Linked DNA regions of Mus musculus. The protein of the gene in region 2 interacts with the protein of the main gene of each other region in a pairwise test. Links are inferred from orthologs where the notes say so. Each region holds a gene or a part of one and is shown on either strand. Other genes may lie near its edges.

Region 1 (7,568 bases), on a different chromosome or scaffold from region 2:
CAATGGCCTTTCTGTACACAAAGGATAAACAGGTTGAGAAAGAAATTAGGGAAACAACACCCTTCACAATAGTCACAAATAATATAAAATACCTTGGTGTGGCTCTAAATAAGGAAGTGAAAATTCTGTATGATAGGAACTTCAAGTCTCTGAAGAAAGAAATTAAAGAAGATCTCAGAAGATGGAAAGATCTCCCAGGCTCATGGGTTGGCAGAATTAATATAGTAAAACTGTCTATCCTGCCGAAAGCAATCTACAGATTCAATGCAATCCCCATCAAAATTCCAACTCAATTCTCCATTGAGTTAGAAAGGGTAATTTGCAAATTCATCTGGAAAAATAAAAAACCTAGGATAGCAAAAACTATTCTCAACAATAAAAGTACCTCTGGTGGAATCACCATGTCTGACCTAAAGCTGTACTACAGAGTAATTGTGATAAAAACTGCATGGTACTGGTACAGTGACAGACAGGTAGATCAATGGAATAGAATTGAAGATCCAGAAATGAATCCACAAACCTATGGTCACTTGATCTTTGACAAGGGAGCTAAAACCATCCATTGGAAAAAAAAGACAGCATTTTCAACAAATGGTGCTGGCACAACTGGTGGCTGTCACGTAGAAGAATGCGAATTGATCCATTCTTATCTCCTTGTATAAAACTCAAGTCTAAGTGGATCAAAGCCCCCCACATAAGACCAGAGACACTGAAATTAATTGAGGAGAAAGTAGGGAAAATCCTCAAAGATATGGGCACAGGGGAAAAATTCCTGAATAGAACAGCAATGGCTTGTGCTGTAAGATCAAGAATTGACAAAAGCACTTCATAAAATTGCAAAGCTTCTCTAAGGCAAAAGACACCGTCAACAAGACAAAAAGACCACCAACAGATTAGGAAAGGATTTTTACCAATCCTAAATCTGATAGGGGACTAATATCCAATATATACAGAGAACTCAAGAAGCTGGACTCCAGAAAATCAAATAACCCCATTAAAAAATGGGCTCAGAGCTAAACAAAGAATTCTCACCTGAGGAATACCAAATGGCTGAGAAGCACCTGAAAAAATGTTCAGCATCTTTAATCATCAGGGAAATGCAAATCAAAACAACCTTGAGATTCCACCTCACACCAGTCAGAATGGCTAAGATCAAAAATTCAGATGACAGCAGATGCTGGCGAGGATGTGGAGAAAGGGGAACACTCCTCCACTGCTGGTGGGATTGCAAGCTTGTACAACCACTCTGGAAGCCAGTCTGGAGGTTCCTCAGAACATTGGACATAGTACTACCGGAAGATCCAGCAATACCTCTTCTGGGCATATACCCAGAAGTTCCAACTGCTAATAAGAACACATGCTCCACTATGTTCATAGCAGCCTTATTTATAGTAGCCAGAAGCTGGAAAGAACCCAGATGTCCCTCAACAGAAGAATGGATACAGAAAATGTGGTACATTTACATAATGAAGTACTACTCAGCTATTAAAAACAATGGATTTATGAAATTCTTCGAGTAATGGATGTATTTGGAGGATATCATACTTAGTGAGGTAACCCAATCACAAAAGAAGTTATTAGATATGCACTCACTGATAAGTGGATATTAGCCTAGAAACATAGAATACCCAAGATACAGTTTGCAAAACACAAGAAAATCAAGAAGAGGGAAGTCCAATGGGTGGATACTTCATTCCTCCTTGGAACAGGGAACAAAAATACCCATGAAAGCATTTGGAGAGATAAAGTTTGGAGCTAAGACGAAAGGATGGACTATCCAGAGACTACCCCTCCCGGTCATCCATCCCGTAATCAGCCACCAAACCCAGACACTATTGCATATGCTAGAAAGATTTTGCTGAAGGGACCCTGTTATAGCTGTCTCATATGAGGCTATGCCAGTGCCTGGCATATACAGAAGTGGATGCTCACAGTCATCTATAAGATGGAACACAGGGCCCCCAATGGAGAAGCTAGAGAAAGCACCCAAGGAGCTGAAGGGGTCTGCAACCCTATATGTGGAACCACAATATGAACTAACCAGTACCCCCAGAGCTCATATCTCTAGCTGCATATGTAGCAGAAGATGGCCTAGTTGGCCATCAGTGGGAAGAGAGGCCCCTCGGTATTGCAAACTTTATATGTTCCAATACAGGGGAATTCCAGGACTAAGAAGCAGGAGTGGGTGTGTAGGGGAGCAGGGCGGAAGGAGGGTATAGGGAACTTTTGGGATAGCATTTGAAATGCAAATAAAGAAAATATCTAATAAAAAAAGAGAAAGATTTCAAAAATGTATAGCAAAAGAAAACATAGATAATATTATTAATACAACTTGAAAAAAGTTCACAGGTAATCTTTTCCGTCTCTACCCAACTCAAATATTCGTTTTCTCTTCCATATCATCTTGATATTAGATTATTTCAAGACAAATCTCATGCATATTAGCCATTCCTTTTCAGAATGTATCTTTAAAACACTTCTGCTTCAAAGCCCTTACATGCAAACTTCCAATTTTATACTTCTTCCAAATTACAAAAGTGAGAGGCATGTTGGTCAAATGCCTCTCACTTTTTCCACCTGGTAAACATATTTAAGTTTCATACCTAGCCGAAATTATTACCCATGCCAATACAGTACCAGATACTTATGTGTCATTTACTATACATCTCCTTCAGAGTTGGTTATTTCAAAGTAGAAACCTCGAATGAGCCTCAGCTCCCCATATGAGTTATATATCAGTCTGCCTATGTGAACTTTTAAAAACACAAAGCTGATCATATTTTCCAAATAATGAAAACTTTGCAGTGGATTTCCAATGTTCTATTATAGAACTGATTAATTGGCTGACAAAGCTATGCACCTTCTGACTTACAAAAATGTTAGATCCAGCTGGGTGTGGTAGCACATGCCTTTAATCCCAGCACTCAGGAGGCAAAGGCAGGCGGATTTCTGAGTTCGAGGCGAGTCTGGTCTACAAAGTGAGTTGGGACAGCCAGGGAAACCCTGTCTCAAAAAAAAAAAAAAATTCCTAACATATAAAAGAAAATAAACTTTATACTAATAAAAAAATGTCAGATCCAGCACCCCTGGACTATGTTATGATTGTGCAGGTCTTTCAGTATCTTAATATCACAGACATCCTGGACCCGTCCTCCTTGCCTAGGTAACCTTCCCGACTCAAGTTTATATGTTACTTTCCTAAGAAACAACCATAGGATAACAATTTCAGTATATTAATTCTAGTTTGTACTCATTGCTGTTTCCAGTCATGTATGTAAGTCTGGGTGATAACCACTTTTTTTTTTTTTTGGTTTTGTTTTATTTTGTTTTAATATTGAGTACTCAATTGGTGTAGAAATAAAAATCTCTAATTCCAAAGGCAATTCTGAGCATAGTGAGTCTGGGTGTTAGGGAGGGCTCAGGAAAAGCAGCTTAAGCCACTAAAGGTATAGAAATTAGAAAGTACCTTTTAGACTACAAAACACCAAACAATATTACTGATATCACCTAATCTTCCAATTCCTGAAATGTACATCTAATTTTATTATTTTAATATATTTTCAAATATATGTTTATTTGAAATTTTATTTTAATAAAATAAAATTTGTGAAAGACAAATTTGTTTAGTCAAATAAGGCTTAATCATAAAGAATGAGTATATCAGTGCCTATTATATCAACACATAAAAGCTGTATTTATATTATATACCTTAAAAAATACAAAACAAATACAAACAAATACAAAACAAAGGACAAATATACTAGAATGTACATAGATTATATAGAACTTGAAAACAAATGTTGGGGATGGAGAGATGGCTTGGTGGTTAAGAGCACTAACTCCTTTTCCAGAAGTGCTCTGTTCAATTCCCAGCAACCACATGGTGGCTCACATCCATCTGTAATGATATCTGATGCCCTCTTCTGGTGTGTCTGAGGACAGCAACAGTATACTCACAGACATAAAACAAATACATCTTAAAACAACAACAACAAAAACAATACCTCCCCCCAAAAAACCCAAATGTCTTTAAGTAATAATACAATTTTCTTCTTTTACTCAGCAAATCAGATTCAGATTTTAGAGTCCAATTAAAGATATACATACGTTTTAAGCAAATTTCTTATACACAGAGAGAGAGAGAGAGACAGACAGACAGACAGAGACAGAAATATACTATAACATGAACTATAATAAAAAATTTATCTGAAGTAATTTTAAAAGCATACCAAGAGGTGGTTCATCAGCTTAGAACACTAACTGATCTTGCAGAGGACCCGTGTTTCAGTTCCCAGCACCGACATCACAATGATTCTGTAACTCTAGTTCCAGGAGATCTAAATGCCTCTATGTTCACATATATGTGGTGTACATTTAAAAATGTAGGCAAAATACCAATTCACATAAAATAAAATATTTTTTAAAAATAAAGTATATTTAGTAATCTAGACATTACACACATTATTTCATTTAAAGGGACACCACTACCTACAGAAATAAGACACAGGAACACATCCTCTAAGAACCTTCAACGTAGAATGAGAAAATAGTTTCTCTGCTTAGACATATTCTTGAAAATGATGTATACTATTTCAACTAGTAGTATACAACTTTTTTTTATTTTCTTACCTTTCATCGTTTTTTTCTGTCCTATTACATTCAAAATGTACCAATCACAAGCCTTAGCATCCATGACTTTTAAGTCAGTTTCTAAATCAATAAGAATCAAATTAAGAATTCTTTATCTTTTGTAAACTTTTGAAGAATTTTAATGATAAACAAGAATTTCATGTATTATTTTTTTCAACTTTTTTTTCTGGGTTTGAAGTGATAACAGGTTAAAAATTTAAGATATCAAGATTTTTGTTTTTATTTTTAAGAGATTTCCTATGGCATGGATATGTGGCTCAGTGGTAAAGACATTTTCTAGTGTGTATGAGGGCCTAGGTTCAAGCCTCAAGACAGGATTAAAAAACAAAAAAGGAAAGAAAACAGAAGAAAAAAAGAGAAAAGAAAAAAAAAAAGATTTATTTCCATTAAATTGCAGTTTTGGCTACAAGGTTACTTCTATCAGTGTTCCTTTCTACCTGACGTGCTCAATTGCAAGTGCCATCTGGTGGAATTCATGTGAGTCATCTGATACCACCCACAACTCCTGCAGAGGCAGATGAAACTCCTTCAGGTCCAAAAGCTCCTTCACATTGGCCAAGGTAAACGTGCTCAATTTAGATTCATAGATGCATGGCTCTGCAAGCCTTACGACCGCCTTCAGGGATGGAAAGTCCACATTTGTAACCTGAAATTCAAAACAATGTGGCTCATTTTAATACTCAGAAATCAAAGTGGAAACACACAGTATAAAATACTATTTATAATCCACTTTTTAAAAGTAAGTAATGTGTCAGCGTGCCTTTTAAGGACAAACAAAACAGAAATGGCTTTTATCCTCAGAATATAAATCAAGGAGAAAAATAAACAGTAGGACTTATGGGTAAGATTTCGGAAAGGAAATTGCTTTGGTGAGACAGTGAAAGAAATCACTTAGAATTTTCAAAATGAGAATATTAAAAAAAAAGGAGGATCAGCACTAGAAATTAAAATAGCAGTGCTAGAAAAACTGAAATGTACTGAGAAAAAGATAGGCAACTCAGTTCCCTAGCAGTGGGAAGGAAAACAGGAGCCTCCTTCAAACGGTAATCCAGGTGTTGCTGGTAAAGAGAAGGAGAGTCTGACTTTCAGAACAAGACCACAGGGTTTTACAAACATCAAAACCAGTTTTGAGTTTCGGTGAAGCAATGATTCTCCAGAATTTTACTGTTACTCTATATGACTGGGAGGGCACAGGCCCCGCAAAATGTTACTTATTTAGAACTGAGCTAAAACTGGGACCTCATTATGAGAAACAATTATAATAAAGAAAGTCTGAATTTAACCTGCCACAACTCCAGATGATAGACAGACAGCTCTGGATCCCAGCTATAGAGAGCAGAAAAGCCCGATGCTGAAAAGCAGAAAAGTGCCAGCAGCAGGAAGTTCTATTCAAACAGTGAAGCGCACAGAGAGAAGCAGTCCCATTCTCAGCTGCCAAGAGCAGAAGGAATCAACCGAAAGCAGCCCTAGAGCTCCACTGCCCTAAGCCTAAACGCAACAGGGCCATCAACCTGTCGCTCACCGCGGGGAGTTCCAGAATGTTTCAATAGTCTACTGGCATCTCTCCAGCAATCTGATGAATATTAAAAGACTTCTAATGTACAACAAGCTAGACCTATATAAGAGTTCAGTGCTGCAGTTGTTTCTTACATTCTTAAAACATTTGAGAGATAACTCCCAAGTAGAACATTAGTTACCGCATGGGTATAAAGAGGAAAACATCAAGAGACTGACAAAAATCTGCACAGTCCACAGGTAACACAAAGATAAACTACAAAAGTGAAGACATATCTGGTGGACTTCAGACACTGTAAAATATAGGTTCAACACCAGCAGAAGCCGAAGGAAAGAAAAGGCACAGATGCCCAGTAACCATCTACCTCTCCCATCCTATGCATATGACGTTTTCCAGTTTTCAAGGACCTAGAAAGAAGCTGTTCCAACATTATTTATTATTATTACGATTATTATTATACCCATTATATTTTGCTGTCCCTCAGTCTTTTGTCTTTATTACAATATCAGATGTATTTTTATTTCATTTATTTTTAAAAATGGTTAAAGTTTTAAAAATAATTTATTACTTCACTTCCTACAGTCACCTAACTTGTGAACTTTTTCATTAGTGGGTAATCATTTTCCTCTTCTTTTGTCTTGCTCCCCCACTTTGAATTCTGTTCTATAGTTGTAGAAATATTTAATGGCTTTTGTTTAAATAATATTTTAATTTCTACTCCTGTCCATATATTTAGGTAATTATGAACTTTTTCATTCCTGAGGGTTTCCCCCTCCTTTTTGTGCCCAATCAGTTGCTCCTTTCTCTTTTCTCGTCTTAACACTCCTCAACTTCCGTCTTCTTTTCATTTATTTGACCTTGCTTCTCTTCTGTTTCTTTCTTTTCCCAGCCTCTTTCTTTCACCTCATTAATGCATTAGAGACACATTTATCCTAAATAATTTTTAACTTTATAACACATTCTCCATGAATTTTCCCACTGTCTGGCTTACGGTCATCAGTGATGTATTAGTGGGCTTTAATCAATTTTAAGTATATTTCTATATCTTCTACACTTTAGTGTTGAGCTATCAGAACTCTGTTCTCCTCACTGAATGGTATTGGGAATTAAAATACCCAGCTGAACTGGTGAAAGGATTAAATTTAATTGGGAATTAAAACCAGGAAGCTGTTCATGTACGATCTCTAAGTAAAACCAGAAAAGTTATCTAAACCAACAAATGTCTAAATTCCATCACAAAATACACAAGCAATAGGAAAAAGTAAAGTAACAGGAGGCCTCCAAAATAATACAGCTTTTCAACTGCTGAATTCAGATATAGAAATAGGTAAAATACCAAGCGAAGTTATTAGAAACTCTCTGCTATACATTTGTGGTTGAGAATCTAGAACGAGTTTGGCTC
Region 2 (7,023 bases):
TCGCCCGGAGGGGAGTCAGGGGCAGCGCAGCCCCCCCGAGCAGCAGCAAGCCCTAGCCACGCCGAGGGGGAAAGCACAGAGCCGTTGCACCAACTGCGCGCCTGCTCCAGACTCACCGCCCGCCCGCAGCCACAGCAACCGGAACCGGAACTCCAATGGGTCACCACCACGGAACGCGGTGGGGAGGGAAAGCAGGGAAGGGCCCAGACGCCGCACCCAGGAAGGCTGGGCCTCGCCACGCCACTCCTCCGAAGTGCGCCTGTCGCCGCCCAGCTAGCCCGGTAGCAGAGTGGAACGCACCACTCGACAGGGGCCGTGCGAGCTGCGGGTGGGCCTGGGGGCGGTCCGGACACGCCCCTTCCCGCCGCGAGCCAGTCGCCTTGCAGATACGTCCCTACCGCACAGCCTCGCAGCTCCCCAAATCTCTGCAAACTGGTGCCTGCGGGCTGGCGCTGGCTTGGAGCCCACTGGACCTAGCCCAGATGGGGTCCGTCACCACCTCCCACAGACAGCCCCCATCAATCAGACTTTCCAGAGGAGTTGAGAGGCCGAGGTAAAAGAAATACGAACTTTAATGAAGACTATTTCCCTTTGGTATAAGACATCCAAACCAAAAATTTGGCGACCATTCCTTGTCCAGAAAGCCTACACACAGAGTGAGCTTGCAAGGTTTCTGTGCTGGCTGCAGCTGCCCGAAAGCAGAAGGTAGGATCTAAAACTATCACATCATAGTCCCACAACACTGCTCAGCCAAATTTCTGCTCAGTTGTCTTGGCGAAAAAGAAAAAGGGGGGGGGGAGGAGTGGGGTACAATCCTGTCCTAGTTAAGGCCAGGGAGTAAAATCCCAACAGTTGTTTAAAAAAAAAAATAAAAGTTTGGAAAAGTCATCGAGGTGATGTATAAATGTAATTGATTATCATAATTCTGTGCTCAAAAGTCAGCAATGAAAAACAAAACCAGGAAAATAAATCTACAGCCCTAAAATGTATACATGTTTTTTAAAAAAGAGAGTGCAGTTCCAGACCTGCAAATGGTATTGGGGATTGTCTACTGCTTCAGTCTTATTGCCTCCACAAAACCCACACTGACTGTACACACCCTGGAGGCCCAAGTCAGACGCACACACCTATCCCAAAGGAGGGAGGCAGGATGGGGTTACAGTGAGGGCTATACTTTGGCTGTAGACTATAACACACATGCAAACATGGGAGGAGCAGGCTTGAGAAATGTATACAGACCCCTTGGAGGAAAGGCATTGAGGTCAGGAGGCACTGAGCAAGATGGGTCCAGTCCTGCCCCTCCCCGCTACCATCAGGAAGAAGGCTCTGGGGTAATCGCTCTTTTTGGTTTTTGGAGACAGGTTCTCTCTCCATAGCCCTGGCTGTCCTGGAACTCACTCTGTTGTAGATCGGATGGCCTCACAATTCCTCCTGTCTCTGCCTCCTGAGTGCTGTGATTAAAGGCGTGCGCCACCATATTCAGGCTTGGGGCAATCTCTTAAGGGCTGCACATCCGAAAGGCAGAGCAGATAGCGGCCACTCCTGTCCCTATTCTCCCTAGACACAGGAAGGGGTGCTGAATAGGACAGGGCTCCAGAAGCCAAGGTGGCAGTAACCCCTGTCCACACGTGAAGGGCCTGAGAACTCTGCATTAAGTATCTGCAGACCTATGATAGTCAAAGGCACAAAGTTTAAGGGGAAGCAGAGGGAGTGGGATATGTTATGCGGGATCTGGGGTACCCTGAAGACCCAGGAGTAAACCAGAGGTATAATTATTTCCCTTCCCCCAAAGGGCAGTTGCTCCACTGGGCCTATCATCACAGGGCATTTTCCATTATAAGAACCCACCCTTTGGGGGGGAAGGGCATCAGGTTGGCACAGGCAAGGCCCAGACAAGGGACCACTCTGCACATTAATACTTTGGTGAAGTTTGGCCAGAGGCAGGATGCTACCCCAGGCTCCTTACTGAAACCCTCTTTTTCTCTCTCTCAAGTGGGCACTAAACCCATGTCCTCGTTGCTCCCAGTTCCCACCCAAGGCCAGACCCACAAAACAGAGGTCCCACAAGTTAGAGAATACGGGAGACGGAAATGGAGAGCATCCTGTTGGAGAAGCTGAGAAGGATCACACTTTCCGATCCACGGGTTGCTGTAGGCACAGTTCGCTGCCCGCAGAGATGATGGGCAAGTGATTGTCCATGTGGTAGCTGATCAGGTGACTGACACTCTCAAAGCGGTGATCCTTTGTCCGAACCTGGGAGGCAGGGAGAGAAGGTTGGGTCAAGAGAAGAGCTCAGGAAGACTGAGGAAGGCGGGCCAGCAGCCGTGATTATCCAGGCATCTTTACAGAAAAGACAGTCACATGGGTGGGAATGGGCAGTGAACTGGGCGAAGGGGAAGGAGACCAGAAATCACGGAAGCTGACAGTGAAAATTCTGACTTGAAGGAAGCTGGTGTCTCTCAAAAGTGACACAATGCAAAACCAAGGTGGAAAAAATGCTGAGAAGAGAAAAGAAACTGAGCAGAGCGGTGGCGGCACAGCCTTTAATCCCAGCGCTGGGGAAGCAGGGCAGGCGGAGCGCTTCAGTTCGAGGTCAGCCTGGTCTACAGAGTGAGTTCCAGGGCTACACAGAGAAACCCCGTCTTGAACCTCACCACCACCCCTCCCCTAAAAAAAAAAAGAAGAAAAAGAAAAGAAACCAAGGTTGTATGGAATAGTAAGGCAGGTTAGATTTGTTGAAAACAAAACAAAACAAAACAAAACCCTGAGTTTGAAGCTAAGGAGCTAGGGAGGCTCCTGACTCCTCTTGCAAGAGAAAATTTGGGGTCTCCACCCCCTAACCACTGACACTGGGCACCACTGCCTTTCCAGTGTCATTTCCTCACTTAGCAAAAGATCAAGTAAGCACTCTCTGGGGGCTGGCAGGCTTCACTGGGATGTGAGGACTGGTCAGAACTGAGAAGAACACAGCTCAGACTCGAGGACAGCAGGGAAGGAACCCTGAGCCACTGCAGGTGGATGCAAGTGTCCAGCAAGGGCAAAGGAGTCCACAGGAAGCCTCCGGCAAAGGAAGTCTAGAAAGCAAAACCACACCAGCCCCTGCCACACCTCTGTCACACTTACCACACCTTCAGGGTCCACCAGCAGCAAGTGCTTGGGCTGCCCACTCTGCAGGCCAGTGAGCACATACTGGCCAGGCGTGGTCGTGCTCTCTCGCACCAAGAAGTCACCATTGAGCTGCAGCAGCGCCTCGGCCTCCCTCCGGCTCAGCTTCCCGTGGAACCAGGGCTCCCCTTGCAGCTGCTCAGCCATGGACATGGACTGCGGTGGGGGTGGCACCCGAAGTGCATCTTCAAAGGGCTCTAGGGGTGTAGAGAGACAGCTGGGAGAGGTGCCCCAGTATCACCTGAGACCCAGACTCAGTGTGGGAAGCCAGGTAGGGGAGAACAGGCAGAAAAGAAGGAACAACGGAAGGTGGGGCTACAAGAGACTCACTCACTCATGTCAAAAAGGTCTCGGGGTGCACTGCCATTAAGAGAAGGATTTGGGGGCCCAGCCCCACCCCCAGCCTGCCGGGCCTTGTCTAGATTCTGGATGTTGACATAGGAGGGGTCATCGAAGAGTTCTCTGCCTGTTAAGGAAAAAAAGACAGCATCAATCCCAGCCCCGCCTTCTGTACTCATCTCTGTCCGTATCAGCAAACTGTGCTCACCTGGGCAAGGCGGCGGAGGCAACATCTGTTTACGGACTTCATGGTCTCCTGCAGCATGCTGCCCTATAGGCTACAGAAGAAGAAAATTGGGTGAGACCAAGGCCCTAGCCAGCCATTCCCACCCTGGTCTTAAGCATCTCCATCCTGGCTCCTTACCAGTGTAGCTCCCAAGTGGCTGGACATCTGGGCACTAGGCAGAGTGGGTCGAGCAGCCCCTTCCCGAAGCCTCATATCTACCACCCCACCAAGAGGGGGTTCCTTCCCTGGAAAGTCATTGTAGTACTGATGGTCAGGGGGCTCTTCTTCCTCCTCATCCCAAGCTGAGCCATCAAAGCCAGCCATCCTGAAAAGAGAAGGATGAGAGAAGAGGCAGGTGTAAATCTCTAGCTAGGAGACCCAGGAAGGGAGAACAGTGATCACATACTAGGCACATACTATGGCTCAGCTCTGAGGCCTGATGTTATAACCCTGTAAGGCTGGTATTCCTTCCACAACTTAAGAAACAGCAATAAAAATTGGGGGTGGACCTTTAATCCCAGCACTCGGGAGGCAAAGGCAGGCAGATTTCTGAGTTCAAGGCCAGCCTGGTCTACAAAGTGAGTTCCAGGACAGCCAGGGCTACACAGAGAAACCCTGTCTAGAAAAACAAAAAAGGGGAGGAGAGATACACACAAGATCTCTTAACTGAAATTAAGAAATTAACTCTCACTTTTGACAGCTATGCGACCTCCTCAGAGGCGTGGAAGCACTATCAAACAAAGCAGATGTCCAGAAGGATTTCACAAAGGGCCTGGTGGGTCACACTGATAATCTCTTGAGACTTGAAGAAAGAAGCCTGGGGACTCTCCGGTAAGAGATGCTGGGACTTGGGAAATAGCTCATTTCCTAAAGTGTGAGGATCAGAGCTCAGATCACCAGGATCCGTGTGTAAGCCAGGCCACCTGTACAGTGGTGGCCACCTGTAATCCCAGCACCCTTGAGGCAGAGACAGGATCCAGAGCAAACTGGCTGCTGCTAGCCCTATCTGACAAGCTCCAGGTCAGAAGGAGATCCTGCCTCAATAAAGTGTGCCGCACCAGAGGAAGACACCTACATCAACTTCAAACCTCTGTACCCACACACAACATAGGCCCCACATGCACACATACACACATACACACACACACACACACACACACACACGTACAAAAAAAAGAAAAAAGTTTTTCTCTTAAACCAGATTTTTTTTCTTTTCTCTCTAATTCTTCCCCCACCCACCCCCTTCTTTCTTCCTTTTTCTCTTTTTTTGTTGGTTTCTCTATGTAGTGCTGGCTGTCCTGGAACTCCCTCTGTAGACCAGGCTGGCTTCAAACTCAAACATTCTACTGCCTCTGCTTCTTGAGTGCTGGGATTAAAGACATGATTACAGTCCAGATACCATAATGACCTTCAGAGGCAGGAGAACACAGAACAATGAGTGGGGGAGCAAGTGCTCCGGGGTTAACCACTGCTGATCTTGCAGAGGACCCAGGTTTGGTTCCAAGCACTCACGTGGCAGCTCACAACCACCTGGTATTCTACTCCCAAGGGACCCAATGCCCTCTTCCGGCTTCCATTGGCACTGCATACACTCGTATACATGCAGTAAATTACACATATGATAAAATAAAAATAAATCTTTAAGAAAAATGAAAGTGTACAAGAACACAGGGATCGGCCAAAAATGAACAACTTGAGAATTCAATGTTCATTCAGCCAGAAAAAGCAGTCTAGTGGGAGGTGCTGGGCTGTAACTCCACCCTAGGCAAACAAAAGGAAGAAACTGTCCCTGCAGCAGGCATGGCCCTCAGGTCTCTTGATGAGCCACTGGAGAGCTGACACAGCAGAGGAGGGACAAAGGGTCACACAGGTCATTACCTTTTCTGAACCCCTTGGAACTCAAGCATGGGAAGACACTTCCTGCCTCGCCCTCTCCCACCAGCTCACCTGTCATGGGGGGTGACCAGCTTCGGTGGATTCCTGAGATACTGTTTGAAGCGCAACTCAAAGGCCTGCCCGATGGTGCTGATGACATCCTGAGCAAGCCCTTCAGGACACTCCAGGATATGGCAGGCTGGGACACAGTGGAGACCACCAGTGAGCTCTGAGGCAGGGGGCTGGCATGACCTGTGGGAGGGAGCCCCCACCCAAGTCCCTCCCAGCAAGGGAACCCTATCAAGTGTAACTGCTTTTCAGATAACTGGCCCCACCCAGTGCTGCCCGCAAGCCTCACCTCTCTGATTCACAGGGTCTTTGGCAACATAGGCAACATACTCAGCTGTGTCCTGGAGAGGGTAGATTCAGGAGACCAGTTAGCTAGAGTTTACAACTCCTGATCCACTAAGACTCTGTCCCTTTCAGACATTTCACAACCCTTGCACCCTACTTCTTTAGCCAGTATCTTCTCTCTCCCTCCCTCTTTTGGTTTTTCAAGGATTTCTCTGCATGGCCCTGGCTGTCCTGGAACTCAAGAGAGTCACCTGTCCCGTGAGTGCTGGGATCAGTGTGTGCCACCACACTCAGCCTCTAGCAAGCATCTTTCTAGCCCCATGTCTCTTCTTCCCCACCCCAGTCTTTCCTCTGGTCCCCAACTCACCGGATCCCCACCGGACGCGAAAGAGATAGATTGCATGTGATGGTTGGCAATGATCTGATGAGGGTGGGGATGGAGAAGGAGGGGATGGTAAATGTCAGGCAGCCTCAGGGCTTGTGGCCCACCCCAGTGCAGAACCTTGGAGCCCCAGGCTCATTCTCTTGGTCTTTTACCCAGTGTTCTCCTGATTTCTTTCTTCTTTTGGTGGGGTGAGGTGCAAGGTCTCACTGTGTAGCCCTGACTGGAACTCAAAGGCATTCACCTGCCTCGGCCTCCTGAGTGCTGGGATAAGGGTGTCACTATCCTTAACCTTTCTAATTTCTTCCTCCTCTACTGTCCAGTTGTTCCTGAGAGCTCCGAGCTTTTGGTCTCTGATTCCCATTTGATGCTCCCATAACTATCTCTGGTCCCTTTCAGCAGCCCTACCTACCTGTTTGCAGTCGGCTGCCATGAGGTTAAGGCTGCTGGTAGACACAGTGAGAGTGATTGGCATTCCAGCAAACTTCAGGTTACTCCTCCCCAGGATGGAGCTGAGTGGGCGGCTACAAGGCTAAGAAAGGGCCCAGAGTCTCAGAATCTGAGCTTTCCCAGCCTGAGGAAACACCTGTCCCATCCGCTATGTCCTGAAGTGCCTTCCCCCTGCCTCCAATACCCAGCCCCAACCACCACATATACCTTTCTCCTCCTTGTCGCCCCTTTG

What was found.
Region 1: the proteins of Shc1 (region 2) and Shcbp1 interact in a two-hybrid assay, tested with the Homo sapiens proteins (2 studies listed by BioGRID, with this or other methods). The link is inferred for Mus musculus from reciprocal best matches to the Homo sapiens genes SHC1 and SHCBP1.

The regions. Positions count from the first base shown.
Region 1 is NC_000074.6:4,759,794-4,767,361, forward strand, and holds part of Shcbp1 (SHC SH2 domain-binding protein 1), read right to left. Parts: intron 5,297-7,568; coding exon 5,088-5,296; intron 1-5,087. UniProt on the Homo sapiens protein: May play a role in signaling pathways governing cellular proliferation, cell growth and differentiation. May be a component of a novel signaling pathway downstream of Shc. Acts as a positive regulator of FGF signaling in neural progenitor cells.
Region 2 is NC_000069.6:89,423,547-89,430,569, reverse strand, and holds the end of Shc1 (SHC-transforming protein 1), read right to left. Parts: coding exon 6,999-7,023; intron 6,874-6,998; coding exon 6,754-6,873; intron 6,381-6,753; coding exon 6,327-6,380; intron 6,016-6,326; coding exon 5,964-6,015; intron 5,805-5,963; coding exon 5,678-5,804; intron 4,056-5,677; coding exon 3,869-4,055; intron 3,783-3,868; coding exon 3,713-3,782; intron 3,632-3,712; coding exon 3,500-3,631; intron 3,363-3,499; coding exon 3,124-3,362; intron 2,254-3,123; coding exon 2,125-2,253; 3' UTR 541-2,124; downstream 1-540. UniProt on the Homo sapiens protein: Signaling adapter that couples activated growth factor receptors to signaling pathways. Participates in a signaling cascade initiated by activated KIT and KITLG/SCF.